2 linked regions of the Anolis sagrei genome follow. The protein of the gene in region 1 interacts with the protein of each later gene in a biochemical or structural test. Links are inferred from orthologs where the notes say so. Each region holds a gene or a part of one and is shown in the gene's direction. Other genes may lie near its edges. The genes, in order: TCERG1 and SF1.

Evidence for each region.
Region 2: the proteins of TCERG1 (region 1) and SF1 form a complex in vitro, tested with the Homo sapiens proteins (3 studies listed by BioGRID). The link is inferred for Anolis sagrei from reciprocal best matches to the Homo sapiens genes TCERG1 and SF1.

The regions. Positions count from the first base shown.
Region 1 is NC_090022.1:97,868,083-97,883,762, forward strand, and holds the start of TCERG1 (transcription elongation regulator 1), read left to right. Parts: upstream 1-5,479; 5' UTR 5,480-5,493; coding exon 5,494-5,606; intron 5,607-5,814; exon of another isoform or gene 5,815-5,888; intron 5,889-9,517; exon of another isoform or gene 9,518-9,609; intron 9,610-10,084; coding exon 10,085-10,310; intron 10,311-11,993; coding exon 11,994-12,146; intron 12,147-12,358; coding exon 12,359-12,608; intron 12,609-14,765; coding exon 14,766-15,008; intron 15,009-15,680. UniProt on the Homo sapiens protein: Transcription factor that binds RNA polymerase II and inhibits the elongation of transcripts from target promoters. Regulates transcription elongation in a TATA box-dependent manner.
Region 2 is NC_090032.1:19,635,869-19,651,548, reverse strand, and holds the start of SF1 (splicing factor 1), read left to right. Parts: upstream 1-8,412; 5' UTR 8,413-8,481; coding exon 8,482-8,974; intron 8,975-10,079; exon of another isoform or gene 10,080-10,156; intron 10,157-11,659; coding exon 11,660-11,788; intron 11,789-15,680. UniProt on the Homo sapiens protein: Necessary for the ATP-dependent first step of spliceosome assembly. Binds to the intron branch point sequence (BPS) 5'-UACUAAC-3' of the pre-mRNA. May act as transcription repressor.

The DNA.
Region 1 (15,680 bases):
ACACCAGGAACACCAGCTGGCAAAGACAATTCCTTCAGATTCTTCTAAAAACTACACCAGTTCATGTAGCTGTAGCAATAAATCACCAGTTCCTCTTGACATTTTGACATGATCACCATAGAATAGTTGGGAATATGCTCTGTCTCTGTGCTCTTTGTAGATTCCCATCTGTGACTCTATGAATATTTGATGCCAATGGCCATTCTACATACCAACATTGCTGATAAGTTTTTGCCCAGAAGCTAGAGCACAATTATCAGCCATCAGAGTAAGTTAAAAAGAGCACATTCATTAGTAACATCAAAGGAGCAGATTGTGTGTATTTGAAGAAAGGGAGAATATGAAGTGAGATATAGATTCATAGTTTTATTGATTTCATAAATGGACAATTTTGGGAAACAATTCACTAATTCAATATATATTTAACTGTGTTTTTCCTTTCCCTTGCTCCCCTTGCATGATTTCCCTGTATATTCTTCATATGGTCCTATCTTGCCTATCTCAAATATAATATCATCTTACAAATGTTATACTGCCTGCCTAGAGACTGTTCTGAGTCAGGTATATTACTTATCTGAATCAAACAAGGGAAACCATAATTTAGATAGGAAAATACACTTATTTTCAAAAAAGAGATCATTTTACAATAAGTAATCATATATATTACAATGTTACACTTTCTGTGCTAGTATCTACAAGGAAGTTAGTTGAAGAAGCAAGAAAATTGAGTTTATCAACCACAAAGGTTGTTCTAATCCTTTGTACTGGAAAGGTAACTTGGTCTTGAATTGGTTAGACCTAACAGGTTTACACAGTACTTGCTCCTAATGGAGATGAAAACATATGTAACAGCTGCCTGCATTTTTAGTTCCCTGTGAAGGTATTGTTATGCTCTCCTGGCACTGGTCTGTGTGATGTTATGGACTTTTGATGCAGAATGTTATTTAATTAAATATATTAAGGTAATTTGGCTGTGCATGCATTTTGTAATGAAGTAAGGAGCTGTAGGGAGGGGTGAGAGAATTGAATATTGGCAGTGAATAGTGGGGGGATTTCAATAAGGTTGGTGGACAACAGTTGATATAGTCATTTAGAGTTGTCAGGGTAGTTAGGTAGGAGGCAGAAAGGTGTGAATGAAGTGGGAATCACAATTAATAGAGTCAGTCAGTCATAGTTAGGAATTAATGTGTTTAAGAGTCTTAATTAGCTAGAAGTGGAGAGTGAGAATGTGAAATGTTTTAAGTGTTTTAAATAATTAATCTGCTTTGTTGTTTTCAACTTCTCTTAATAAAGTATAGCTTTTGTCTTTATGCACTTTTGGCCTCCGGGAATGCAATATATTAAGCTTGGATTAAAACAAAACGATTGGCAGCAATGAATAAAGAGGAGTGATGCCTAGTGTCCAGAAGTTGCATAATATCTCACACGGATATCTTGAGAGTATCTAGAATCTCCTCACAGTTGGAGGCCACAGATGTGGAACAGGAAGAGGTCCCTAAATTGATGGCTGAGGTGGGAACAAGTAAAAGCCATCATTCTTGATAGTCACAACTTACAAGCAGTTTGTGGAAGTCTCTGTGTTGGTGGCAAGTCTCATATCTGGTGGAAGCAGTGAGTTAAATGGTAAATCTGTAAAAGGATAACCACATATTTCACCTAGGAAAACCAACCCTTTATCCATTAAAGGGAAAACCCTCACAGGCTGCACTTCAAAATTTATCAGTGGATTACTGTGTTTGATATCACCTAAAATAGAACTGAGCAGTCTTGACTGCAATCTAGTCTTTTTCTGTGCAGTAATTAAAAAAACCTATGAACTAACCAATGGTAGATGAGAGGAAAAGAGATCAAGGGATGGGACCTTCGTCTTCACCCAAATACCAGTTAGACTCTTCCTAAGTGGTAGATGAGTAGCAAGACCAAACTAAATCTGCTTAAATCATCAGGCCGGCCAAAATTTGTATTAAAGCTATCCAATGGAAGAACTTAGCACTGATGTATGGTAGGAAAACGTGAGATTTCCTGGATGTTCTTTCAGTTCAGTTTTCAAAGCATTCCCCCAGAGGAGAGGCAGAAACAAATATTGGACTTTCTTGCATGATTCCTTGATAATATTGTTGTAAGAACCTGGGAAAACTCACAGCAACCCTATGTAAGAGTTCTTTCCATCTTCTAAAGTTGTTGAAGGGGGTCTCCTAGTGGCTGAAAAGAGGAGTTAAAGTAACACATGCAAATTATTTAGGGGGGCTTAAGTGAGTATAGTTGTAATCTTCATTACAGCAGACTCTGGAATATAGTTGATGTATCAATGATAAGAACTCAAAGCATGTAAAATGTTTTTTATTAAGTAACATGAAGTACATACGCACCAACAACATGCTAGCTGCGGGATTTTTCTTTGTAACTACTGCTCTCCCTTAATATCCAGCAACAGCAAGCAGACTTAAGAACAGCTTAAACAGATCTCACTTCCATTTGTCAGGCAGTTTCTTATCTTCTTCCTCCAGTCACATTTGTAATGTAAGGCTAAAGTGATATTCTTTCCTCTTAACTCTTGTTCATCGGATCCCAAAGAACGAAAAAGTAGGATTGATGTTTGTTAGAAAGCCAAAGCCCTTATTGTAAACACAGGTTTCCGAGCCCTTGGTCTTCACTGAGGTCATCTAGATACAAAACAGTTATGGCTGTGTATCTTTCTAACACAAATATTTCTGTATTTAGTAAAACATTTGCAGAAGCAGCATCATTAAATTAGAATTAACAGCATTCATTTTAATTAACTGCTGGTCTATGAAACCTCTTACAGAACACTGCCAATATCTATATCTGTCAGCTGGATTCTCAGTAACATGCTCATCACAGTATTAATGGAATTGGTTAACACACTTGTCATGGCTATTTGCAGGTGACAGCTGTTTTTGCCCCTCACCTCCAACAATAACTCAATTTTCCAAGTTTTATGTAGAAATCAAAACATGAGACAAAATTAACAGCTACTATTCTGTCCATTAATTTTGTAAGCAACCATACTTTTGCAAACTTCAGTCTTGTTTTTTTTTTCCAGAGCACACAACCCCACAGTGTAAGCCATAATGTTTTTTTTTCTGTTCCCTGGTTTGTTGACTCTTTGTAGGGAAATGTAGGGGTGATGTTATGACATAACAACAGTATTATTTATTAACGAACAGAGGGGTCATTAAATGGAGTGAAATAAACCAGTGAAAGAACTGAGCATCTTATCTGAAAATAAAAGGACTTGTCCTTGTTCTAGGGACACAAAATCAATTCCTAGGGGCCCTTCCACACAGAATATTCTATATCCCAGAATATAAAGGCAGAAAATCCCACAATATCTGCTTTGAGCTGGGTTATCTGAGTGTATACTCAGATAATGTGAGATTTTTCTGCCTTGATATTCTGGGATACAGGGTTGTGTGGAAGGGCCCATTGAAAAATCACAGAGAAACAAGCTAGAAAAGGGTTCTCAGCCACCTACTTATCTTGGCAGACCTGGTGCCTTGTCTGCAAATGTTATAGATCTGTGTCCATGAGGGCTTTTTTCATGTGTGAATTTAATATCTCCAAGAGAACATTTGTACAATTCAAAATTTAAGTAACCAGAGTTCTTTTATGATGGCTATATAAAATGTTCAATGTGAAAAATAAAGAAAATGTTCCAGGATCAGATCCTTTAAAATTCAAAAGAATAGAACAACATGCTGAAGCCATCACCTTGCACTGCTGAGCCAGGCATGGCTTTGGCATGGCACCATATTTATCTTTCCTTTAAAGTAACTTCCCTAGATCTATAATGGGCAGTTAAAATGCTACAGCCAGTTGCTGAACTGAGTTCTGAGAGCTGTAGTGCAACCATAAAAAAAACCCTTTCCAGGCACCTGTGCTGTTAGCTTAGAATGGTGGTTCCCAACTTTTTTTTTTTTTTGACCAGGGACCACGCTCCAACATTAGTACCAAAAGGGTTATGAATCAGATTTTGGTCAACTTTAGATTTGGTTTGGTTATTTGGGGTGCTGTTTCAGAAAATTGTATTGGAGAGAACACATCAGCTCTAGTTTCTGATAAAGAACATATATCATCTGCTCACCCACAGAAAACCATATTTAATAATCTAGAGCTGATGAGGTAGTAGTAATCTTTTGTGAGTAGTCAGCCCTCCTGATATCCCAGTTACCTCAGCACTATAAGAGGGTTTTGCGAGACCAGTTGCTCTCAATGCAATGGTGTAGTAACGGTAAGACCGTGGACCACTGGTGGTCCACAGATCACAAGTTGGGAACCATTGGCTTAGAACCGTGATGGTGAACCTATGACATGTGTGTCAGCACTGACACACATGGCTATTTTTGATGACACACACATTCAGAGAAGTACACCTTATAAGAGCCAATCTAATTCCATCCTTAAATTTGTAAAAGGCTCTACAAATTTAACATCTGCATGTTTGACCATTGTTCACTCCATAACTCAGCATGGAATATACATTTTTCTTATTTAAACTATAAATACTGCAAAATTATGTTTTTCTCTCTCGAAGTGACACCCCACCCAAGTTATGCTCAGGTTTTTGGCAAATTTTGACACACCAAGTGCAAAAGGTGGCTTAGAAGTACTAATCCCCCTAAAGTTTAGGAGAACACACACCTATGTTGTGCAGTCCATCCTCCCAAATGGGAAGTCTTTCCTTTCATAAGGATAAAACGGAACCTGCAGCACCTCTGAGATTACCTGAGAAAATTTCTAGCATAATCTTTAGAGGATCCCAGTCCCACTTCATCAGATGCCAACAAGGTCTGGAGACTACAAAAGCTCAGGGGAGAAATGCCCCTTTTCAGTCTCAAAGGTGCTGCAGCTACAGGATACCTTTCTATATGTTTATACTGAAACAGATCTAACACTACATGTCTTTGAATGTACCCCTCCTTAGATATGAGCTTTTTAGTTTAAATCCCTCAAATAATGTTAAGTTGGACGATTAAGGGTATGCGTGCCAAGTATTATGGCTTCACATGAAGCGAGTTTCGAGTCAGAGCGGGCCTGGACTTCTCCAACCAGAGCCGTGGTCAAAATCCTCCCTTTTTCCATACATTTCATTCTGCGGGCAGCCCTCGTTTCAAAATGATTTATCTAACAATAGACTCCGAAAGGTAGGATTCACACAACGTGTCGCGCCTCTACCACTTTCCTGCCTCTAGCTATCGCCTGGCGCACGCTTGTCTTTGAACACCATTTCCGGGTCACAGTTCACGTGACGTGCCGCTGAAGGAGGCCGCGAGAGGGCGCTTCTTGATAGCCTTTGAGCCAAAACCCTCCAGTCCCGACTCGCTTTCCTCCCCTCATTCAAAATCGGCGGCGGAGGCAGCCAATCAGGGAGAGGCGAGCCCCTGACGTCCCGTGATTGACGGGAGAGGCGGCCAGTGGCGAGGAGGGAACCGTAGCGAGGGTGGGCGTGTGCGGCGGCAGTGTCGGCTGGTGATGGCGGAAAGAGGAGGTGGTGGTGGAGGAGGAGGAGGCAGTGGCGGCGGCGGAGGGCCTGGCGGCGGAGAAGGCGACGCTGCCGCAGCGGAGCGCTACAATAATGAGATTAGGTAAGGCGGAGGAGGGGCGGGGAGGTGGAGGAGGAGCACGCGCTGCCAGGAGCACGAGGCCTTTTGTGAGCGAGCGGGCGGGCGGGCCAGCGCGCGCGCGCCAAGAGAGGGAGCGCGAGCGGCCTCAGGCTGTGACCTCAGCGCTCTCTCTCTCTCTTTCTCTTTCTCCTTCTGCGCGCGGGGTCCCCCTTGTCTCGCGCGCGCCCTCTTCCCTTAGCGCTCGAGGCGGAAGTGGCCGTTTAGTCAGTCTCCCCTCTCGCCTTCATTGCCAGCTCTGGCCCGGTGAGCCTCGCCCGTTAACTGGCGCCTCCTGCCCGTTCTCAGGCCTTTATCCTCGCGCGGTGGCTACCCTTGATAGCCACAGTGTTTATTTTTTTTTCCCGTGGAGTGTTCCCCCCCCCCACGAGAGCGTGGGGGGGGGGCTACTCTCTCGTACGCGGTGACGTCTCAGGCCGGGGTGGGGGCTGGCGGCGAGGGGCTTCCGTTAGGAAAGCGGGAAGGAGGAAGTCCTCCCGCTGTCCTCCAGTTCAAAGGCCCGGTCTGGAACCACGTCGACTGTAGAATTCATGGAGTTCGACACTACCTTGCACCTCACCTCCCTAGAGAATGAATCTCCTTGAAATCCGGTTGCTGCCTCTTGCAGAATCCTGAGGTTTGTGCTTTAGGGAGAAGCCCTTAACGGCCTCACTAAACTACACACTCCAGAACTCTGCAGATGGCAGAAACCGGATTTAAAGTGGATTTATTCTCTAGTTTGAGAGAATTTTAACTGCCATGGCTCGATGCTATTGAGTCCTGAGAGTTGTAGTTTGGTGAGGTACCAGCACTCTTTAGCAGAGGAGGCCCAAGCTCTTGTAAGAGTACAACTTTCATGATTCCAAAGTATTGAGCCAGGGCAGTTAAACTAGTGTCGAGCTGCAGTAATTCGATAGTATAGATTTTTTTTTAGCTACTATTTTATCACGCTAGAGAAAAAAATTGGCAAAAGTATGATAGCTGGGACCCACTGCTGGTTGCACATCGCGGGTCAGAATTCAAGAAGCCAAGACATAACGTATTTGAATATGTTTGCATACTATATCCAGATAGCCTTAAGCACTATACTTGGCTGTTGGTCCCCCTCCCCCTTTCTGGTGAGCTATCTTGCCACAACTTTGCTGCACCTGCATCTCTCACTGCACTGTCACAGCATTGGGTCCCAGCTATTATACTTTTTGCCAAAAAATCCACTTAAAATCCAGTTTCTGCCTCCTGCAGAATTCTGGGGTTTGTAGTTTAGGGAGGAGCATTTAACAGCCTCACTAAACCACAAACCCCAGAATTCTGCAGGAGGCAGAAACCAGATTTTAAGTGGATTTTTTTCTCTAGTGTGATGAAGCATCAGGTGCATCCCTTGAGAGGGTTTGTGGGCTAAGAGCAATTTTCATGCTCATAAAATGCTCTGAACCAACAAACTAATCCTGAGAGGCAACCTCCCCCGCCCCCCATCTGAATCCTTCCAGATGTGTTGGACTACAGCTGCTGTCATTCCCAGCCCTTATCTTCCTGGCTGTTGTGATGGCACTTATGGTTCAGGCATAGTTGGAAGAGCTAGGCAGGAAGACTGCTGTATTAAACCATGTGTGACAAGATACCCTTAAAAATTCACTGAGTGTAAATATTGGTTTCAATTAAAGTAAGTGCATTAAAAATTAAAAAGTCATTCAGGGATGCTTGTACATAGCATCTCCCCGAATGTAGAAAACAGTTCACTTCACAACTTATTTCATTGATTGAAATAAACAGTCCAGCTAAAAAATGTTTGTACATAACAATTGCACAAGGAGACCTTTCCATGTTGGAAATGCCAAACACCATGTGTGATGTTAGGATATCCCCGTGTTCTACTGTGTTTCTACATGTGTGGTAGAAAGCTGTGTTAATGTACAGCAGTGTATGAATGCAGATGAGCTATGCATAATTGATATGCATACAATGTGATGTGTTAGTTTTGCCCATTTCTAGTCATGGAAATATAGTGATTGACCCTGACAAGAACTTTTACTAAAATAATCTTCCATGCTGCTTAATGCTACTTTATAGCAAAGTTGGATGGAAAGTGAGCTCTTCTACTTATTACTGTGCACTTGCAAGATACCACAATACTATGTATAGTGTTACACGTGCAAGGCTATACAAGGCAATTGATGTTTTCACATGACATGACAGGTCAGGGATCTTTGACAACTCTATCTTCTCATGAATGAACAGCATGCTGCTTGCAGTGAGGATGACTTTTTGTGCTGTCTAGCAACATGGAGCTTCTCTTTCCTGTTTTCCCTCCCACTAAACCAGAAAAAGACATCAAGGACAAATATTTGATCCTTCCTTGTTTATTTGAATTGAATCAATTTTAAATGAATATCGATGTCCAATCCTAGAGAGCCCACTGCCCAATTGAGTTAGTTTATCCACTTCTATTGCAAATTATCTGTTTCCACAGATCACTTGTGGTCATGTTGTGTTGATGTATCCTGTAAGTCATTCTAATGAAAAAGGAATTACCCAGAGTCTGATGGTGAAGGTAGTGAAAAGCACTGCATCTTTGTCTACAGTTGACAAGAAAATGCATCTTGTATCATCAGGCTCTCAGATTTTTTTTTAAAAAAAACCTTTAAAATATGCTTTATGACCAGTAAACAAGACTAGGCTATGCAAATGGAATAGGCCATGTACTGTAGTCCCACATCTTTCTGTTGTCCAAAACAGAAGTGATTACAGCAGCTAGGATTTACAAGTCTTGTAGTAATAATCCCTAAATTGCTGCCAGCTTCTCCTTTTTCATGTACCAGACCTTATGGAGTGACAAATATTTAATGACTTGTGGGCACTTGGGGGGGATGAGGAAGCTCTGTCCCACACCAGAACACTGTGTACCTTTTGACAAGTTGTTTGTGCCTGAAAAGCAAGCATGAACTGAATTGAAAGAACCAAATGATCTCAATACATTTGCTTCATTGGTCGTCTTCTAATAGAAAATGGTAAAATTAAAGGTCAAGTGAAACTTGAATTGCACAACAATATCTGTTGGACAGATTGCCAAAATAAATAAATAAAGCCTTGTGATGTTCAAACTAATATGTTGCTTCACTTGGCTGACACTTTCAAGCAGCCGGTTCTTCCATTTAGAACCAATGTCCTTTTTTGTTAAAGCAGCCAAGACTTCTTCTTTTCACTTATAAATGCGTCCATTTAAAGGAGGTCCAATGAACACCTTTTTTTGCAAATGTGGCGGGAATATAAATCTCTAAGCAGAGAATCTTCAAATAAGACTTAACAAGGACGGGGGGGGGGGGGGGGGGGGCTATTGAAAAATTACATTTCCCATCTACCATCTGAATGTGTCATTGGAATCATAAAAAGTGAGAAGAAAACAAACCAAAATCAGTTCTGAGTCTACTTATTGGCTATCAGTTTTGTGATTTACAGTAGCCTTGTACATAATGTCCTACAGACATGACAAAAGAAGATCCTTTTGACATGTCATAGAGCACTTTTTTTAAGGCACATGATTGTTCTCAAATAATAAAATGAGTATATACTCTATTAACTATGCACATATAGCTATTTAGAATAGATAAGAGCAATATGTAGAAAGGAACCCAACCTTGTTTATATTTTGAAAAAAAATAATTGAAATATTTACATATGTAGATATGTTGATACAGTGATCAGGTGTAGATAGAAACATTTCAGTTGGTACAGACCCCACAAGGTGTTATATGTTTACAGTTCATATATATTGCAGTAGAATTTTGATATACCATAATGGTATGCAGTTTCTAAATGAGAAGGTGTTTAAATAATGAGTGTTGAATTATATATTTGTTGTCGTTCGCCACCTTATAACCTTTGTTTTTTTCAATTTTGAGTCATCATGCCAACATTGGTATTGCACTGGCACTAAATGGTGGGCAAAATTGTTTTCCTGAGAGCATCAGAAGAGCGTTTGTTGGTTACAAAGGTGAACTTTTTATATATATATATATATTCTAAGTTACTTCTTTAGAGGGCTGGGTGGTACAGTGGGGTCAGTGTACTCTAATATGACTTTAGGGTACAAATGAAAGGATGTTGATGGCTTTGTTCAAGTGAGTTGTGGGCACCCATTCACATTATGACACGTTTGGTTGCCTTCTTGTTTGCTATCAGTAGAAAATGATTTAGATGCCATGGGTATATAGGAGCAGTGTGGGTATCACATCTCATGTTGGAGGTGCTTTATAGTTAGGCCTATGGGAGGGAAGCTTTCACAGTGCCTTTCCATTCTAAGGAATTGCGGACAATTTAAATATTGCGGACATAGCCTCCCAAGAAGTTTGAACCCTAGCATTGTTTGAACTTATGTCACAAAGCTCTGATTCACTTATCGCACCAGCACCCTTTTGGTATGCAGAAAGCTTGAACATAAAACTGTTTCTTTTTTACTTTGCTTGCAGGATGGCTCAACAGCAAGCACTGAGATTTCGCGGTCCAGCTCCTCCACCAAACACTGTCATGAGAGGGCCACCGCCTCTTATGCGTCCACCTCCACCTTTTGGTATGATGCGAGGTCCACCACCACCACCAAGGCCACCCTTTGGACGTCCCCCATTTGATCCAAATATGCCTCCAATGCCACCTCCAGGAGGAATTCCTCCACCCATGGGACCTCCACATCTCCAGGTAAGAATATGCATGAAGTGTAATCCCCTTTCTTGTTTTGTCCAAGGCCTAATGTGGAATGTATGATTCGCAGTGACTACTAAGGAAACTACAGTTACAGGTAAGCAACTTATAATTCTTGTTTTGTCCAAGGCCTAATGTGGAATTTTCTCTGTCTTCCCATTTCCAATTGTCATTTTTTTCTTTAACATTGTTAAAGAACCTCTTTCCACAGCTTTGCTGTTTATGTTTCATGTGTGCTTTCCTTGGTTATCTATTTACTATCTGATTGGCTTTGACATGAGTTGCCTTCCACCATATTTCCTTCATTCTATTTATCTTTAAATTTTAACTTAAATGGGTATTTCTTGTAGTTTTTCATGTCTCAAAATCAAGGATGGGGACTAGATGTATTCACCTCTGGGAAAAGACATTTACTTTTATAATCTGCCCACCCATGCTTCATTTTTCTGACAGAAAGCTGCACTGCTTCTGTTTTTTCAACTGTTTGGGGGTTTTCTGCAATGTCTTTTCCCATTACTTTTTTTGAAGTCTTTGAGAGATCATTTTGCAGGAAGTTAATCTTTTACTTCCTTCCTGAAAGTTTTATTGTAACACAGTTTTTTTGATTCAATTGACATTTAAAATGCTTATAAATCTCAGATATTAAAGATCTCTGCCAGTGGTAAAGGGGTGATAGATTTACAATAATCCTATTGGGATGAGGTTATTTTTTTCATAGTAAACGTTAAGGAGTTTTTTAAAATTGCATCATTGTGTAATGCCATCAATATTGTCCTCATACATGGCAGGGTGATGTTGAGAGTAGGCAAAGGCTTTCCCTGATCTTTTTGTTAAATGTTTTAATACAATTTAGGATTTTGCTGTGTAATGTATTGTCTGACGTCTTGTGCTTTTTTTATGCTGGGGTATGTAATTTTTACTCTTTCAGATGTTTTAGGTTGTGTTGTGTTAAGTTTATTTTGCTTTTACTTGACTTCATTTTGTGTTTTATTTAGGGAGGTTTATTAAATTTGCAGATAACCTAATGTATAAGCAGAATAAAAATATTGTAACTTCCTATCATTGGAATATATACATGGAGATTTTCTATCCTTTGAACTCTACCATTAGTAGATTGATTTTTTGTTACATGTGATAGATTTTTTGCAATAATCATGAATGTAATACTTTTATGTATGCCAAATGGGAAGGTTAATATGAGAGATTACAACAAAATTTTCTATGGGATCTTCCTTTGACTTTGTCCTGAACTCAAGTATTCTTAAAATAATCAGCTTGAATTAACATCTTCCCCTGCCCCTCCCCCCCCCCCCCCCCCCAAATTGCTAATATCTTTTCTTTTACTACAGATCACTTCTGAGAGCTGCTCAAAATGCTTAGCTTACAGCTATACTGCCCAGGGACCAATGCAAATTTACAGCACATCAGTTAAAAGAGCACATAAAACCGATGCATCTTAAAATCAGTCAATACAGACTTAAAAAAAATACCTAGATGTGTGTGCCAAAATGATTTGTGGCACCCCATACTTCTTTCTCTAAGGACCATTTCTGTTCATTTTATATTAACTTCAGTTTTTACAGTTATTTTACAATATATGCTGTTTCCTCTTAATTATGGAGGTATTGTGGAGTGGAATACATAATGTAATCTTTTACTTACTTTTGTTTATTTTTATAGAGACCCCCTTTCATGCCTCCTCCTATGGGAAATATGCCACCTCCTCCTGGCATGATGTTTCCTCCAGGAATGCCACCAGTCTCTGCACCTGGAACTCCAGCAATGCCACCTACAGAAGAGATATGGGTAGAAAATAAAACTCCAGATGGAAAGGTCAGATTTATTCTTAGTAATAATTACAGTTATTCTGTCATTTTTACAATTCATGCTATGTTAATAGAATTTAGTAACCTGGTTGGTTCAGGTGGTTGAATAATCTGCCTATGTTTATTCATTAGATAGATTAATTTGGTATTGTGATGTTCAAACATGAATTAAAATATTAGGTCAATTGTGTAGCCTAAAATTATGTCCTCTCTTTCAAGGTTTATTACTATAATGCACGAACACGTGAATCAGCATGGACCAAACCTGATGGAGTGAAAGTTATTCAGCAGTCTGAACTGACACCAATACTGGCTGCACAAGCCCAGGCACAGGCTCAAGCTGTAGGTGCTTCCACAACTACTACCAGTAGCCCTGCATCAGCAGTATCTCCCTCTGCCTCCTCAAATAGTCAGTCCTCTACAACCTCTACTACTACTACTGCAACATCTGTTTCACAAACAGTTTCCAGTGAGTAAATTTTGTAGGACATAGGAAGGGATGGGAAATACATTTTATCTGGGGAAACATGCTAGTGTGTCACTTACAACATTCACCGTAAGACCTTTTGACACATGTCAGTTGATGCTATTCTCCATCCCCTCCCTATTTCTCTTCATCTGATCCATTCTGTGCATATGTGGAAAAAAGAGAGGGTCACATTTATAAACTGTTCTCAAGATCTGATCTATTATGTGAATGTTGTTTTCTGTGTTGACTACCATGTGGAGGGCCCAAGTGAAAAAATACATTTGAGTTAAAAAATACTTTGAAACCCATATATTCTGCTGTTTCAGGAGGAAAAAAACAACACCTTATTGAAAAGTAACTCACTTATCAAGCATGAGTCTTGAGTGCCTTTAGGATTTTCCTGATTTTCCCTCTTGAGATCATTACTTTGTATCTGTGGTGAGCACTTCTTATCATGCCCTTCCACACAGTCATATAATCCAGAATATCAAGGCAAAATGACCCACAATATCTGCATTGAAGTGGAATGTCAGAGTCCACACTGCTATATATCCCAGTTCAGAGCTGATAATGTAGGATTTTATTCAGTTGTATGGAAGGGGCCTTAGTCAAGTTTTTCTTTTGCCAACAGGAAGAGAAAAACTTATTTTGTTGCAATTTAGGCAGATAAGAAAATCTTTACTGACTGATTTAATCTGAGGTACTTTGTAACCCAAACAACAATTCCATTGTATATCAGGGTGGAAAAATGCCCCATGTTGGTACAGAATCAAGGTTTTCCCATAACATCCAAACAGAGCCAGAAAATGTATTGTCTTTCATGGCCGGAATCACTAGGTTGTTGTAGGTTTTTCAGGCTGTATGGCCATGTTCTAGAAGCATTCTCTCCTGATGTTTCGCCTGCATGGGTGGCAGTCATCCTCTGAGGATGTCTGCCACAGATGCAGGTGAAACGTCAGGAGAGAATGCTTCTAGAACATGGCCATACAGCCGGAAAAACCTACAACAACCCAGAGCCAGAAAACTTTTGGAGACTGCATGTTTGTTTTGAGTAAGTGTCAGCCTTGTATTTTGCAAAGAAGGAAAGAAAAGAAATCATAATTGTTGTATTAAAAAATACTACTATTTTAATTGTGGCAGGTAGTTGAAGCTCAACAGAGTTTACAATTCTTGAGAGTAGTAAATGTTACAGTAAATACCTTGTAGGTCTAGTTGTTTTTGAATTCTGCAATAAAATATGACTGGAAACTAACGTTTGTTTGGAGAAGGATCAAAGTAAACGACACTGAAAAGCAAATATAATTATTAGGTTGTCTTGCATTTCATATACAAGGTAATAGGTACCGTTAACGCCTTAAATCTCAGGCTGTAGAATTCTTTATTAAATACTAATGCCACTTGGAGGTGCTATAGCATCCTAAACAGCTTTTGGTGCCTGGATTCAAGGGATACAATTTTGAACAGAGTAGAAGTGCTATGAGTATATAGATATTGTACTGTTTACATTATGTTTTTAATTGTTGTGTTACAGCATGTACATTCAAGTTAGCCAAAAGCATAAGGGGTTTTTTTTTTGGGGGGGGGGGGGGTAATTTTCTTAGTTGTGCAAGTTAGTAATGCATCGTAAACTGACCATACTTGCTGTTTGATGAATCAACAGAAAACTTCTGCCACTGATCTGGAGGTTTGTTAGGTGCATTATGTGGAAAATATGAAGGTGAAATAAAATGATAAATCTGTCCTTTGAAGAAAGCTGAAAAATCTCAGTATCAGCTCTTTTCAGAAATGTACTTTACATAGCCTCTTGAGGTGAGTGTGTGTGTGAATGAAGTAAATGTTCAGAGCTGCAGAGATTGTTTCATGACTTGTTCTTCACAATAGAAGCCCCCTTTAAAGGAAGCTATAATAATAGAGCACATTGAAGACCCCAAATCAATATTTGTAAAACGCTTTTCTTCTGAAGGAGATCCCTGCTGAAGTAAAATATTATGCGCATTTAAGTTACATCTCTGAAAATTATATAGATGTATCTTTCTTAATTCATCTGAGATTATGCCCAGTTTTGCATCAGTGTACATGGAAAGATTGGTGAGTCCTATTAAGTGTACTGCATATGCTACATGATCCATAGTTTCAGATATCTGTTTTCTTTATCAGCACCTACAACACAAGACCAGGCCCCTAACTCAGCTGTTTCAGTCGCCACACCTTCCGTCAGCGTTTCAACCTCTGCTCCTTCTGCTACGCCTGTGCAAACCATCCCACAGCCCGGCCCACAGACATTGCCTCCTGCCGTTCCTCATGCAGTACCTCAGCCAACAGCAGCAATTCCTGCTTTCCCACCAGTAATGGTACCTCCGTTTCGTGTCCCCCTTCCTGGCATGCCTATTCCACTACCAGGTAAATTGGGAAGTCGTTGCTTTTCTTGTCAGCCCCATGTTCATGTTGTCAATTTGTTTGCACTCATGTGTCCACTGTGTATGAAATTTGCCTGAATCTCTTCATTGAAAATATATATTCTTCAACAAAAGTGGAGTTGTTAGACCAACCTTTCAAAACCACAATTTCCAATACTTCTTATTGGAAATAAGCCACATCCATGTAAAATAGTATTTTGGCATGAGCAGAATACATCTTTTGCTTCAACAAACACAATTTATTGGTTTTGCAGTTTAGTTGGAAGAAATTCATCTTGTCTCTGGTATTAGCTTATCCTGTCATCCTTTTCATACTTAGCTTGACAGTAAGCCCCATGGAACCAAGTGCATAGGATTGTGTTATAAAAGGCCTTGCTCTTCAAATTCAGTAATATCTGGTAGAACTAGACTCCACCCTTGAAATAAAATAAGATGTAAACAGGTTTGCATTAAGGTTGGGGAACCTGTCATTTACTAAATAATGCTGGCTTTCTATTCCCATCGTCTTATCCATGGATATACTAGGTGAGGGAAGTGTAGTCCAACAAAACCTTGGAGATCCACTGGTGCTCCAGCCCTGTTGTATGGCAGATTAACTGACTAGTTTTCTGTAGAAACCCTTATTGTTGGTTAAAAAGCAAGTTTAGATCATGGA
Region 2 (15,680 bases), on another chromosome or scaffold:
GAGCTCTTTTATGATTGCTGATTGCCTTTTCAGAGCCAGGGCAGCTTCCCTGTAGACATCCCCCAAAGAGAGGGGAAGGGAGCAAAAGTTTAGGTTAAGGTCAGGAATATGAGGGGAAATACATGTGGAAATATAGGAATCACAAGAAATTCATATCAGAAAGAAGAAAGCGCAAAAGCCGGGTTGCAGCTAAACATAAAAAAAACCAAGATTATGGCAACAAGAATGATTGACAACTGGGAAATAGAGGGAGAAACAGTGGAGGCCGTGACAGGGTTTGTATTTCTAGGCGCAAAGATGACTGCAGATGCAGACTGTGGCCAGGAAATCAGAAGACGCTTCCTTCTTGGGAGGAGAGCAATATCCAGTCTCGATAAAATAGTCAAGAGTAGAGACATCAGACTGGCAACCAAGATCCATTGCCTAGTCAAAGCCATGGTCTTCCCTGTAGTCACCTACGGATGGGAGAGCTGGACCTTAGGGAAGGCTGAGCGAAGGAAGATCGATGCTTTTGAGCGGTGGTGTTGGAGGAAAGTGCTGAGAGTGCCTTGGACTGCGAGAAGATCCAACCAGTCCATCCTCCAGGAAATAAAGCCCGACTGCTCACTGGAGGGAAGGAGACTAGAGACAAAGCGGAAGTCCTTTGGCCACATCATGAGGAGACAGCAAAGCCTAGAGAAGGGAATGATGCTGGGGAAAGTGGAAGGCAAAAGGAAGAGGGGCCGACCAAGGGCAAGATGGATGGATGGCATCCTTGAAGTGACTGGACTAACCTTGAAGGAGCTGGGGGTGGTGACGGGCAACAGGGAGCTCTGGCGTGGGCTGGTCCATGAGGTCACGAAGAGTCGGAGACGACTGAACGAATGAACAACAACCCCCTCCCTATCCCATCCACCAGAGAAATTGATTAAAGTTATGATTTCAGCAACACATGAGTCCATAGTTCATTCAGGGGAAATTCATCGGTAAAAACAAGTCCTTTGAAGTCCAAAACATTTGGCAGAGAGTCCAAAGTCACAAAAAGGAGTTTAGGGATGTCCACTCAGCCAAAGGATGGAGTCCTATCCCCTAGAATCATAGAATCATAGAATCAAAGAGTTGGAAGAGACCTCCTGGGCCATTCAGTCCAACCCCATTCTGCCAAGAAGCAGGAATATTGCATTCAAATCACCCCTGACAGATGGCCATCCAGCCTCTGTTTAAAAGCTTCCAAAGAAGGAGCCTCCACCACACTCCGGGGCAGAGAGTTCCACTGCTGAACAGCTCTCACAGTCAGGAAGTTCTTCCTCGTGTTCAGATGGAATCTCCTCTCTTGTAGTTTGAAGCCATTGTTCCATTGCGTCGTAGTCTCCAAGGAAGCAGAAAACAAGCTTGCTCCCTCCTCCCTGTGGCTTCCTCTCACATATTTATACATGGCTATCATATCTCCTCTCAGCCTTCTCTTTTTCAGGCTAAACATGCCCAGTTCCCTAAGCCGCTCCTCATAGGGCTTGTTCTCCAGACCCTTGATCATTTGAGTCGCCCTCCTCTGGACACATTCCAGCTTGTCAATATCTCTCTTGAATTGTGATGCATAGAATTGGACACAATATTCCAGATGTGGTCTAACCAAAGCAGAATAGAGGGGTAGCATGACTTCCTTAGATCTAGACACTATGCTCCTATTGATGCAGGCCAAAATCCCATTGGCTTTTTTTGCCGCCACATCACATTGTTGGCTCATGTTTAACTTGTTGTCCACGAGGACTCCAAGATCTTTTTCACACGTACTGCTCTCGAGCCAGGCATTGTCCCCCATTTTGTATCTTTGCATTTCATTTTTCCTGCCAAAGTGGAGTATCTTGCATTTGTCCCTGTTGAACTTCATTTTGTTAGTTTTGGCCAATCATTTCTCTAATCTGTCATGATCCCTTTGAATCCTGCTCCTGTCCTCTGGACTATTGGCTCTCCCTCCCAATTTGGTGTCGTTTGCAAACTTGATGATCCTGCCTTCTCGCCCTTCATCTAAGTCATTAATAAAGATGTTGAACAGGACCGGGCCCAGGACGGAGCCCTGCGGCACTCCCTCAGGGATATATTTTCCTTTATGGACCTTCCTGTGAGTAATATGAACTATGGACACTGGGGGAAGGTAGTTGGGTTTACTCTGTGTTATGACTTCTTTATTTTCATATTTTCTCCTGTATTTCTATATTTCCCCTCATGTTTTCTGACCTTGCCCTGAACCTTTTGCCCCCTTCCCCTCTCCTTGGGGGAAATCTACAAGGAAGCTGCCCTGCCTCTGGAAAAGCAATCAGCAATCATGAAAAGACCCTTCTCTTTGTCTTGTGGGGTTCCTCAGGGTTCAATACTGTCGCCCATATGATTAAAATGGAGAGATCATCCGGAGTTTCGGGGTGCGGTGTCATCTGTACGCAGATGATGTCCAGCTCTGTCACTCCTTCCCACCTGCTACTAAGGAGGCTGTCGAGGTCCTGAACCGGTGCTTGGCCGCTGTAACGGTCTGGATGAGGGCGAACAAATTGAAACTGAATCCAGACAAGACAGAGGTCCTCCTGGTCAGTTGCAAGGCCAAACAGGGCATAGGGTTACAGCCTGTGTTGGACGGGGTCGCACTCCCCCTGAAGACGCAGGTTCGCAGCCTGGGAGTGACCCTGGACTCATCGCTGAGCCTGGAACCTCAGGTTTCGGCGGTGACCAGGGGAGCATTTGCACAGCTAAAGCTTGTGCGCCAGCTGCGCCCGTACCTTGGGAAGTCTGACTTGGCCACGGTAGTCCACACTCTCATCACATCCCGCCTAGACTACTGCAACGCTCTCTACGTGGGGCTGCCCTTGAAGACGGCCCGGAAGCTTCAATTAGTCCAACGTGCGGCAGCCATGATTCTAACAGGAGCGGAGCGCAGGGAGCACACAACCCCCGTTGCGCCAGCTCCATTGGCTGCCGATTTGCTACCGGGCTCAATTCAAGGTGTTGGCATTGGCCTATAAAGCCCTAAACCAGTGGTTCTCAACCTGGGGGTCGTTTGGCCATTTCGGAGGGGTCATGAGGCCACCTCCTTTGGCCCCGCCCCCCAAAGTTTTGGCCCCCGTCCCTCAAGGCTTTGGACAAGCCCAGGCCTCATGCAAAGCCTTCCTTGCCTGCCTCGCAATCTCAAAAATAATTTTATGGTTGGGGGTCACCACAACCCAAGGAACCATATTTAGGGGTCACAGTGTTAGAAAGGTTGAGAACCACTGCCCTAAACGGTTCCGGCCCAAGATACCTTTCCGACCGCATCTCTGCCTATGAACCCACCAGGACTTTGAGATCTTCCGGGGAGGCCCTGCTCTCGATCCCGCCGGCTTCTCAAGCACGGTTGGCGGGGACGAGAGATAGGGCCTTCTCGGTGGTGGCTCCTCGGCTGTGGAACGCCCTTCCTACAGACATTAAGTTGGCGCCATCTCTCATGGCATTCCGAAGAAAGTTGAAGACCTGGTTGTTTGTGCAGGCGTTTGAGTAATTGAGTGCAATCTGGTAATGGAACATAGGAATGGAACAATGGACGACGAACCTGGACTACGCTTGGATGAGGAGAAGATTGGGTACGGTTGTTTTTTGTAATAATTGTGCATTGTAATGGCTTATTGGTAATTTATGGATAATGTGTTAAGTCAATTGTTATATGTTGTATGGAACCACTGCTGTTCTACTGTTTTTACTGTTTGTGAACTGCTGTGAGTCACCTTCGGGCTTGAGATACAGCGGTATATAAGCAAAGTAAATAATAATAATAATAATAATAATAATATCTTTGGACAATCTTTGCATGGACAATAGTAAAGGAAATCCTTTTGATTTGTTGGGCCATCTTAAGGGTTCCTGTCCGGCAGACTTTTTAATCATATAACAGTGGGGGGAATATGACCTTAGGAAAGCCCTCTTTTCCTCCAAGCCGTTTTTCTTTCAAATCTTTCCACTAAGGACATTCACAAAAGTTTCCCCTTTGTGCCCTATCTGATTGTAAGAGGAAAACCTTGATTAAGTCATCATAACTTATCACTGACCCATCTCAGGACAATAAAGTTAGTTTCCTTAGAAGGCTGATTCTGGACTCAAGAAGCCCCAGGACATTGGAATTCCATAATCCACTCAAGAAAGCATTGTTTCTTCTTGTCCCGCCTCCCTTCCTCCTGATTTGCTAGAGTGCCGAGGCGGTAGAAGCTTTCTGATTGGCTCATACGCAGCTAATCACCTACCAACAAACGATTCCCCCAGGCAGTAAGAAGTCATGCCTTGAAAACTGCTAGGCCATTAAATGCTAATCAAGGTGGCCAATTGAAACATTCACACCTACGTCCAACAGACAAGTTCTTTCACCCACCCTGGACATCATTCCACAGAGATATAAACCCCATCTTCCTCGTTTCCAACAAACCTCACAACCTCATAACCATAATACAACAATATGATTTATTTATTTGTCGTGTCAGAACAACCAGTCTAACAGAACAAAGCAAACAAACAGAAAAATACACAACTTGTGAGTTTGGTAGCTGGTTAAATGTCCTTTGACCAGTTTCTGGCCCCTTGGAGTGCCTCTGGTGTTGCCGCAAGAAGGTCCTCCATTGTGCATGTGGCAGGGCTCAGGTTGCATTGCAGCAGGTGGTCAGTGGTTTGCTCCTCTCCACACTCGCATGTCGTGGATTCGACTTTGTAGCCCCATTTCTGAAGGTTGGCTCTGCATCTCATGGTGCCAGAGCGCAGTCTGTTCAGCGCCTTCCAGGTCGCCCAGTCTTCTGTGTGCCCAGGAGGGAGTCTCTCATTTGGTATCAGCAATTGGTTGAGGTGCTGGGTTTGAGCCTGCCACTTTTGGACTCTTGCTTGCTGAGGTGTTCCAGCGAGTGTCTCTGTAGATCTTAGAAAACTATGTCTAGATTTAAGTCGTTGACGTGCTGGCTGATACCCAAATAGGGGATGAGCTGGAGATGTCTCTGCCTTGGTCCTTTCACTATTGGCTGCCACTTCCCGGCGGATGTCAGGTGGTGCAATACTGGCTAAGCAGTGTAATTTCTCCAGTGGTGTGGGGCGCAGACACCCCGTGATAATGCGGCATGTCTCATTAAGAGCCACATCCACTGTTTTAGCGTGGTGAGATGTGCTCCACACTGGGCATGCATACTCAGCAGCAGAGTAGCATAGCGCAAGGGCAGATGTCTTCACTGTGTCTGGTTGTGAACCCCAGGTTGTGCCAGTCAGCTTTCGTATGATATTGTTTCTAGCACCCACCTTTTGCTTGATGTTCAGGCAGTGCTTCTTGTAGGTCAGAGCACGGTCCAGAGTGACTCCTCCCATGTATTTGGGTGCGCTGCAATGCTCCAGTGGGATTCCTTCCCAGGTAATAATCCTCAGAGCTCGGGATGCTTGTCTGTTCTTGAGATGAAGGGCACATGTCTGTGTTTTAGATGGATTAGGGATCAGCTGGTTTTCCCTGAAATAGGCAGTAAGAGCACCTAGAGCTTCGGAGAGCTTCTGTTCTACCATCTCAAAGCTGTGTTGAGGCCTCGGCCTTTGTAAGCCGCATCGAGTCATGCGGGAGATGCTAGCGGGGTACAAATAAAGTTAATAATAATAATAATAATAATAATAATTTTCCTCGTTTCCAACAAACCTCACAACCTCATAACCATAATACAACAATATGATATAATAATGTAATAATAATATTATATTATAATAGAAATATTATATAATATATTATTATATGATATAATATTGCATACTAATATAATAATTGTTAATATTATATAATTTATCATAATTCTATATACAATTATTATAATATAGTATAATAATTTAAAAATAATAATATTACATATATATATAGTATAATAATATCATACTATAGTAATTATAACCATAATGTAATAATATAATATAGTATAATAATGTTAATATAATACATATTATTATATAGTGATATAATATAATATTGTATAATACTATAATAATTATTAATATTATATAATTTATTATAATTCTATATATAATTATTATAATATAGTATAATAATTTAAAAATAATAATGTCACATATATAAAGTATAATAATATCATACTATAGTAATTATAGCCATAATGTAATAATATAATATAGTATAATAATGTTAATATAATAATATAATATATATTATTATATGATATAATATAATATTGTATAATAATGTAATAATTGTTAATATTATATACTTTATTATAATTCTATAATTATTATAATATAGTATAATAATGTTAATATAATAATATAATATATATTATTATATAGTGATATAATATAATATTGTATAATAATATAATAATTGTTAATATTTTATAATTTATTATAACTCTATATATAATTATTATATGTATATTGATTTAATAATAATAATGTCATATATATAAAGTATAATATCATACTATAGTAATTATAACCATAATGTAATAATATAATATAGTATAATAATGTTAATATAATAATATAATATATATATTATATAGTGATGTAATATCATATTGTATAATAATATAATTGTTAATATTATATAATTTATTATAATTCTATATATAATTATTATAATATAGTATAATAATTTAAAAATAATAATGTCACATATATAAAGTGTAATAATATCATACTATAGTAATTATAATCATAATGTAATAATATAATAATATAGTATATTAATGTAGTAATGAGGATGCCTGCAGTACTATTTTTTTCCCTTTTTGGCCCAAGCGGGATTCGAACTCGCGACCTCCTGATTCATTTGCAACACCAGGCTTAGGCCCTAACTCCCGCCAGCCTCGTGGATGGAAGAAAACGTGGGCCAATCAAATGCCTCCTTATTTCCCTCTGCGGCGCTACTTTATTTCACCGTCCAATGGTAGCCCGAGCTTCCACTGACGTCACTTATCTCTATGGGACTCGTGGCAGAAAAGTCCCTCAGGAAGCGGGCCATGTGGCAGCGAGGAGGGAAAGTCCTGAAAGCAATTGAGCTTCACCAATCACAGCGTTAGATTCCCCTAGATCCCGCCTTCCAAAATGGACGCGGTATGCTCCCGCCTACTAAGGCCTAAGTATCAAATCAGCGCGCGGGACACCTTGAAAGACAGAGGACGTGAAGGCTGTGTCTGGCTAATGACGGTTGATGGACGCGGCTGTTGACCAATTGGCGTCCATTAGGCGCTAGCTAGAGGAGGGAACCAATCACAGCGGTGCAGCCAATCAAAGCGGTAGATATTTGACAGACGCGGCTCTTGCCCAATCGGCGGAGTGAAGGACTGCTTTGGCGGCCATTAGACGCCGTGATAGATAGAGGAGGAACCAATCACAGCGGTGCAGCCAATCAGAGCGGTGCAGATTTGATAAACGCGGCTCTTGCCCAATCGGCGGAGAGGAGGACTGCTTTGGCGGCCATTAGACGCTGTGATAGATAGAGGCGGGACCAATCACAGCGGTGCAGCCAATCACAGCGGTGTACATTTGATAGACGTGGCTCTTGCCCAATCGGTTGAGTGAAGGACTGCTTTGGCGGCCATTAGACGCCTTGATAGATAGAGGAGGAACCAATCACAGCGGTAGAGATTTGATAGACGTGGCTCTTGACCAATCGGTGGAGTGAAGGATGTCTTTGGCGGCTATTAGACGCTGTGTTAGATAGAGGCGGAACCAATCACAGCAATGCAGCCAATCAAAGCGGTAGAGATTTGATAGACGCGGCTGTTGCCCAATCGGCGGAGTGGAGGACGGCTTTGGCGGCCATTAGACGCCGTGATAGATAGAGGCGGAACCAATCACAGCGGTGCAGCCAATCAAAGCGGTAGAGATTTGATAGACGCGGCTGTTGCCCAATCGGCGGAGTGGAGGCGTGCTTTGGCGGCCATTAGGCGGGCAGGGCTACCTTGAGAGATAGAGGAGGAAACCAATCAGAGTGGTGGAGGTTTGATAGACGCGGCTCTTGCCCAATCGGAGTGAAGGACTGTATTGGCGGCCATTAGACGCCTTGTTAGTTAGAGGAGGAACCAATCACAGCCGTGCAGCCAATGACAGCGGAAGAGATTTGATAGACGTGGCTCTTGCCCAATCGGCGGAGTGAAGAACGGCTCAGGCGGCCATTAGGCGCGCAAAAGTACCTTGATAGATAGAGGAGGGAACCAATCTCAGCGGTGCAGCCAATCACAGCGGTGCGAACTTGATAGACGCGGCTCTTGCCCAATCGGTGGAGTGAAGGATGTCTTTGGCGACCATTAGGCGCACAAAAGTACCTTGATAGATAGAGGAGGGACCCAATCTCAGCGGTGCAGCCAATCAAAGCTTTAGAGATTTGACAGACTCGGTTCTTGCCCAATCGGCGCAGTGACGGACGGCTGCCTCAGCCAATCGGCGCGCGCGGTCTTTGTGAGGCGAGCCTTTGGCGTGGAAGCTTCGCGAACGGGCCTGGGACGCCATTAAGCGCCGTCGATGGCGACCGGAGCGAACGCGACGCCTCTGGGGAAGCTCCATCCGCCGCCGCCGCCGCCTCCTCCGCCGGGGAAAGCCGGCTACCCGCTCCCTCCGCCGGGCCTCGTGATGCAGGGGCCTCCTCCTCCTCCGCCGCCCGCGCAGGCCCAGCCCCAGCCGGCCATCCCCAGCCTCATGGCGGCCGCCGCGGCCTTCCCTTTCGCCGCGCTCCCGCCGCCGCCTCCTCCGCCGCCTCCACCACCTCCTCCTCCGCCTCAGCAACCCCAGCCTCCGCCTCAGCAACCTCCACCTCCTCCGCCGCCTCAGCAAGGGCAGCAGGCGCCTCAGCAGGCCCAGTACGCCCAGTACCGCTTCCCCTCGCCTCCCCCGCCGCCTCAGGCCGCGCTAGGCCTCGAGCAGCAGCAACAGCAGGCTCAGGCCGTGGCGGCCCAGCAGCACCTCCACCTCCACCTCCAGCAGCAGCAGGACGAGGGCGGCCAGGCCGGGAGCCAAGGCAAGTCCGCCTATCTCGCGCTCAGCCCAAGTATGTACCGTGGCTGCTTTGCCTTCCTCTGGGTAGGCCGGGCAAGGGACACCCCGCTTGGGTTGGACTCCTCGCAGCCTCAGGCCCCTTCCTTAAGCAACTGAGGGGAGAAAAGAAGGGGCCTGAGGACAATTGGCACACAAGAATTTATTTATTTACTTCATTTACTTTGTTTGTATACAGCTCTTCTCAGCCCTTCGGCGACTCAGAGCGGTTAACAACAAACAACAGCAAAAATTCAAGGCTAGCATCATACAAACCATTTAAAAACAATTAACACAATGGGTTGTTGTAGGCTTTTTCGGGCTGTATGGCCATGGTCTAGAGCAGTGGTTCTCAACCTGGGGTCCCCAGATGTTTTTGGCCTACAACTCCCAGAAATCCCAGTCAGTTTACCAGCTGTTAGGATTTCTGGGAGTTGTAGGCCAAAAACATCTCAGGACCCCAGGTTGAGAACCACTGGTCTAGAGGCATTCTCTCCTGACGTTTCGCCTGCATCTCTGTATATATATATATATATATATATATATATATATACATATCTATATCTAGAATGACTGGGGTGGGGCAAAGGACTCTTCTCTGCTGGAGCTAGGTGTGAATGTATTGTTATTATTATTATTATTATTTGATGCACTTATTGACCGCCATTCTCAGCCCATAAGGGCGACTCATGGCGGTGTACAGTACACATAAAAGACAATTACAAAAAGCCAGTTTCGACAACATATAGACTATACAACAACTACAAACTACACTAAAAATCCGCTTCGTCTCTTAGTGGAATCATAGCCAGTCTCATTCCAGTTCCGTTCCAGTTCTCATAACCGTATTATTAGCACTTAATTAAATGCCCTCTCGAAAAGCCATGTCTTAAGGCTTTTTCGAAAGGACATGAGGGAAGGCGCCTGTCTGATGTGTGCAGGGAGAGTGTTCCACAGCCGGGGGGCCACCACCGAGAAGGCCCTCTCCCTCGTCCCCGCCAGCCGTGCCTGTGAGGCAGGCGGGACCGAGAGAAGGGCCTCCCCAGACGATCTCAAGGTCCTCGTGGGCTCGTAGGCTTTCATGGCCTCCACCTCCAGCAGCAGCAGCAGGACGAGGGCGGGCAGGCCGGGAGCCAAGGCAAGTCCGCCTATCTCGCGCTCAGCCCAAGTATGTACCGTGGCTGCTTTGCCTTCCTCTGGGTAGGCCGGGCAGGGGACACCCCGCTTGGGTTGGATTCCTAACAGCCTCAGGACCCTTCCTTAAGCAGGTGAGGGGGAAAGGAAGGGGCCTCAGGCCAGTGGGCCCACAATAATAATAATAATAATAATAATAATAATAATAATAACTTTTTTATCGTGTCATCAGCAGCCATACCATTGTGTTACAATTCTAACGGAACAAAACAAACACACAGATTAAAAAGAAAAAAAACACACACAGATTTTGCAAATTTGGTATTCGGTTAAATGTCCTTTGACCAGTATCTGGCCCCTTGGAGTGCCTCTGGGGTTGCCGCAAGAAGGTCCTCCATTGTGCATGTGGCAGGGCTCAGGGTGCATTGCAGCAGGTGGTCAGTGGTTTGCTCTTCTCCACACTCACATGCCGAGGATTCCACCCTGTAGTCCCATTTCTTGAGGTTGGCTCTGCATCTCGTGGTGCCAGAGCGCAGTCTGTTCAGCACCTTCCAAGTCGCCCCGTCTTCTGTGTGCCCAGGGGGGAGTCTCTCATCTGGTATCACCCACGGATTGAGGTGCTGGGTTTGAGCCTTTCACTTTTGGACTCTTGCTTGCTGAGGTGTTCCAGCCAGTGTCTCTGTAGATCTTAGAAAACTATTTCTAGATTTAAGTTCTTGACGTGCTGGCTGATACCCAAACAGAGGATGAGCTGGAGATGCCCCTGCCTTGGTCCTTTCACTATTGGCTGCTACTTCCCGGCGGATGTCAGGTTAATGTAATACAAAATAATAATAACAGAATAAAACAATGGAAATGTAATAATAGAGTAAAATAATGGAAATGTAATAATAACAATAAATAGAGTAAAATAATAGTAAGTAAGCTTTATTATGGTTGATGACCAGATCATAATGTAATAAAATAATAGAGTAAAATAATGTAAATGCAATAATACTAATAATAATAATAGAGTAAAATAATAAATCTAATAATAGTAGAGTAAAAGAATAAATGTAATAACAATAATAAATAGAGAAAAATAATAAATGTAATAAAATAATAATAGAGTAAAATAATGTGAATGTAATAATAGAGTAAGATAATAAATGTAATAAAAATAATACTAATAACAGAGTAAAATAATAAATAACTTTGATTCTAGTATAAGCCGAGGGGAGCTTTTTCAGCCTAAAAAAGGGACTGCAAAACTAGGCTTATACTCGAGTATATACAGTTAGTTGTCTGGGTTTTTGAAGTTTGGTAACAGTATTATGTGGATGACACCTGACGTTATTCCTTTTTTCCTCCCTTGGTTTTGTGAAATAGTTTTCCAGATCACATGTGGTAGCTTGTTAATGGAGAATTGGGGTAGAATGTGTTTGAGTGAGTATAAAAAGAGTTTATGATGGGAAAACTAATTTTGACGAGACACAAACATAGCCTGAATCTTGCCTGCATGGGACTGGTATTATAATTAGGTATAATGTGTTTGCAGATTATCCTAATAAAAAAAGAAAGAGGAGCAGATGGAACCAGGACACCATGGACCAGAAGACTGTCATCCCTGGCATGCCCACAGTCATCCCTCCTGGGCTTACCCGTGAACAAGAGAGAGCTTATATAGGTAAATACTTGTTCTGTTCTTTCATGTTTTCGTGCCAGTACCGATCCAGAAAGTGTTTTTAGCTGTGGTGTGCATTCAAGATTTTCAGTGTTTGCTTTCAAAGGCTTGGGTTATGGTGGTCTTGTTTTCATTACCATATGTATATATAATATAGACTCTTTTCTCAGTGAATAATTGTGTTCCATCCCACCCCTCTGTCGCGTTTGATTGAAACAGTGTCCTCCACAGGCATATTAGAAACTGAAGTCCTTAGAAAGGGTGGGAGATTTAACATTTTCTGATATTTAGTCAATTGGCCATGGAAACTAATCATCCAGATCTCTTATAAGCATCACAGACTTCTTGCTAGTGGAGAACACTAAGAGTCCTCTTTGAAGCTATATTGTTTGGAAGCAAGCACCTCTTTCACACTGGAATATTGTAATCTAACCATGGTTCCCTTCTCACCTTTTGTACCTTACTATGCTAATTATGCAAAGTTAACGTTGAGCCTTCAAGATAGTGAAGATTGTTTGTACCACTTAGCAGAAGGGAACGTTTCTTAACCTCTGGGTTGCGTGTTTATTTTGTGGGGTTTTTTAATATCATGAAATACTTGGGGATTGGGTTGTATTAGCATGGTGGGAGCGATATTCATTTGCTGGGAAAGGAATTTGGGAATACCGCTTGATTCTGAGAAGATTGAGAAGTGTTACATACTATTATCCTGCATTTGGGAATGAACAGAAATTGTATTTGCAATAGAATGCAAAGTGTGTATGTGTATTTGTGTGAAATCCTCCTAGGACGCTCTGATGTTTCATTATCAGCTGCAAATGTCCCTTATGGTCTGTTCATCTCACTGATGTTACAAAAGAAGACAATTACTCCTTTCTTGTGCATAAATCACTTGAGAAGTTTGATATGTAACCTTCAACTGTTCAGAGTTAATACTGAGAGCTACTTTTCTGCTCTAAAGCCTCATGAACTGGCTTACTTTCAAAATTAACAAAATAGGTTTTTTTACAGTGCAGAATAGTCTGCCTCAGTGTCAGGCAAAGTTTCAGTATAGGAAAACTGGAAGGCACATTGGAAAAGCTGATCTTGTTATGTTATGCTCTGCACTTCATTCCACAAGAGGTAGTTTTCCTTACTGTCAACATAGGGTTGGTTTTGTTCAGCTTTTACCTGGCCATGAGTCTTAAGCCTTTGCAGAAAACAGCTATTTTGATATATTTCATTGATAGAAGCTGGGTAATGGAGCTAATGGGGCACCAAAATAATTGGCTTGAAAAAAGTATATTGAAGAAACAGTTCCTAATGTCGAATCATTGGAATTATGAATACATTTCTGTAATTATTTAAATAAATCTGATTATACCTGTTGATCAGTTTTATCAGAACCATGTCTACAAATCACTGTATATACTCGAATATAAGCCTAGTTTTTCAGCCCCTTTTTAAGGCTGAAAAAGTTCCCCGCTGCTTATACTTGAGCCAAGGTTATTTATTATTAGTATTATTTTTATTACGTTTATTTACTGTATTTATTATTACATTTACATTATATTATTATATTATTATTATTTTTATTACATTTACTTACTTGATTTATTATTACATTTACATTATTTTACTCTTATTATTTTTATTACATTTATTTACTCTATTTATTCTTACGTTTACATTATTTTACCCTATTATTTTATTACATTTATTTACTTTATTATTATAGTTACATTATTTTTACATTTATTATTTCCCCTATTTATTATTATTATTGTTATTATTACATTTCCATTATTTTTACATGTATTATTTTACTCTATTATTACATTTACATTATTTTACTCTATTATTTTATTACATTTATTTACTCTATTATTACATTTACATTATAATACATTTCCCCTATTTATTATTGCTATTATTACATTTCCATTATTTTACTCTATTATTATTTTATTATTTTACTCTCTTTATCATTACTGGAAGAATAGGTAAGCACATTTACATAGAAGGAAGTTAAAATGGTGGTTTAATCGGAGTTGGACAGTCTTATCTTAAATTACAGTTTTAAGTAAATATTTTATTTATTTATTCATTCATTTATTTATTTAGAACTTTTATATACCGGTCTTCTTGACTTCCAGAGAGGGACTCAGGCCGGTTTACAACAAAGATTCATAAACAATAGTTTAAAACATCACATCCCAATATTCCAAAACTTTTAGCCTACTGATGCCTCAATTAATGTAATTTTATTGGTATCTATTTTTATTTTGAAGTTGACTCGCAGCTGCTGCATTTCCCACCCTCTGCTTATAGTCGAGTCAATACGTTTTCCCAGTTTTTTGTGGTAAAATTAGGTACCCCGGCTTATCTTCGGATTGGCTTGTATTCAAGTATATACGGTAATAGATTTGGGTCAGAATTCTCATTCTGTGCAAAGATACGAGTGCTTCACTTGCTGTACTAACTGGTGTTGCAACCCACAGCTGAACGGGATAAATAGCGAAAGGGTAGAGGTATGACACACAGAGTACCAAAGGACTCCATAGCAAAAGTGCATGCATATCGTAATTGGGATTTGTGAAAGAGGGACTACCAAATACATCTGAAAATAGTTATGAACATTAAGATAAACGATCTTAATCCCAGCAAATAATTGATCTGCTGAAATATTTCAAAATACAGAATAGTATTGGAAAGAATAGAGTCAATCCCGACCATACAACATTGTCCAATTCTCTAGAACGTCAATGAATAATCACGTGTTTTGAGATTTTGAACCAATGTGGATGTGCGTTGATGCAATGCCTGAAAACGATCAATGGTGTGAATATTTGTTTAGAAATCCATTAGTTCGATCAGTCTGTTTGGTGTAAAACGTTAAAACACATTAATGAAATGTATTGTCTGTTTGAGATATTTAGAATACTCTGTCCCTGAGAAATACTGTTTTTCAGTTTTGTAAGATTCTGTCTTGTCAAACTGAGAAACTAATGCTTTTTTTTTGTATTGTTAACATTTACAGTCCCACTTCTAAAATCTTGAATGCAGCCTGTGAAATGGGAAATAAATCAGTTTAAAGCAAGTAAAGAAAACAGTGCAGGATGCTCAGGCTATATCTTCTGATCAAAACATGCTATATGAATCCCTGAGCTTTATTTGAGGTTTCAAAGTGTTCCTCAAGCTCCCTAAATTCCAACTTGGAGGCCCACTTTCTGGTTTTCTTTGACCATACATTGGGCATTCTGCCTCTTCCCTGGTCCCTCAAAGAAGCTGGAAAAGTGCAGTGAAGGCGCTGTGGTTTTGTACTGTCTTTTTTTTCAAAAGACAAGGCCCAGTTTCATGTCTCAGCCTTGCTACACTTCATTCACCGCTGCCTGGCCTCCCTCACAGCACTGTCGTTCTGTGAGGGTTTCATTAAAAGGCCTCTCAGATGCCTAAATATAATACTATGTGGACTTGTGTGATCCAGTCGGGTTAGGTTTTTGATCAAGCAGAAGTGATACTGGTTTCTTGTACTTCTTGTTTATTTATTTATTATTGATGTACTGTATTTGTATACCACCTTTCTCAGCCAGTCGGTGACTCAAGGCGGTTTCCAACAAATCAGTATACATAAAAACGTAATATAAATTAAAACAGTATAAAACACCACAAGAGCAATAAAACAACATCATTAGCATCTCATTATTATCAAGCTTAGTCCAGTTCCATTGTCAAGTCATTCGATTTCCTATATTAGCTACTCTGCATTTGTAAACGCTTGCTCGAACAGCCATGTTTTTACTTGCCTCTGAAACGTTAAGAGTGAGGGAGCAGATCTGATCTCCTGTATCAACAACCATATCGAATTTGGTTGGCATACCCGATCTCATTAGCCAAGGAGCCACCACTGAGAAGG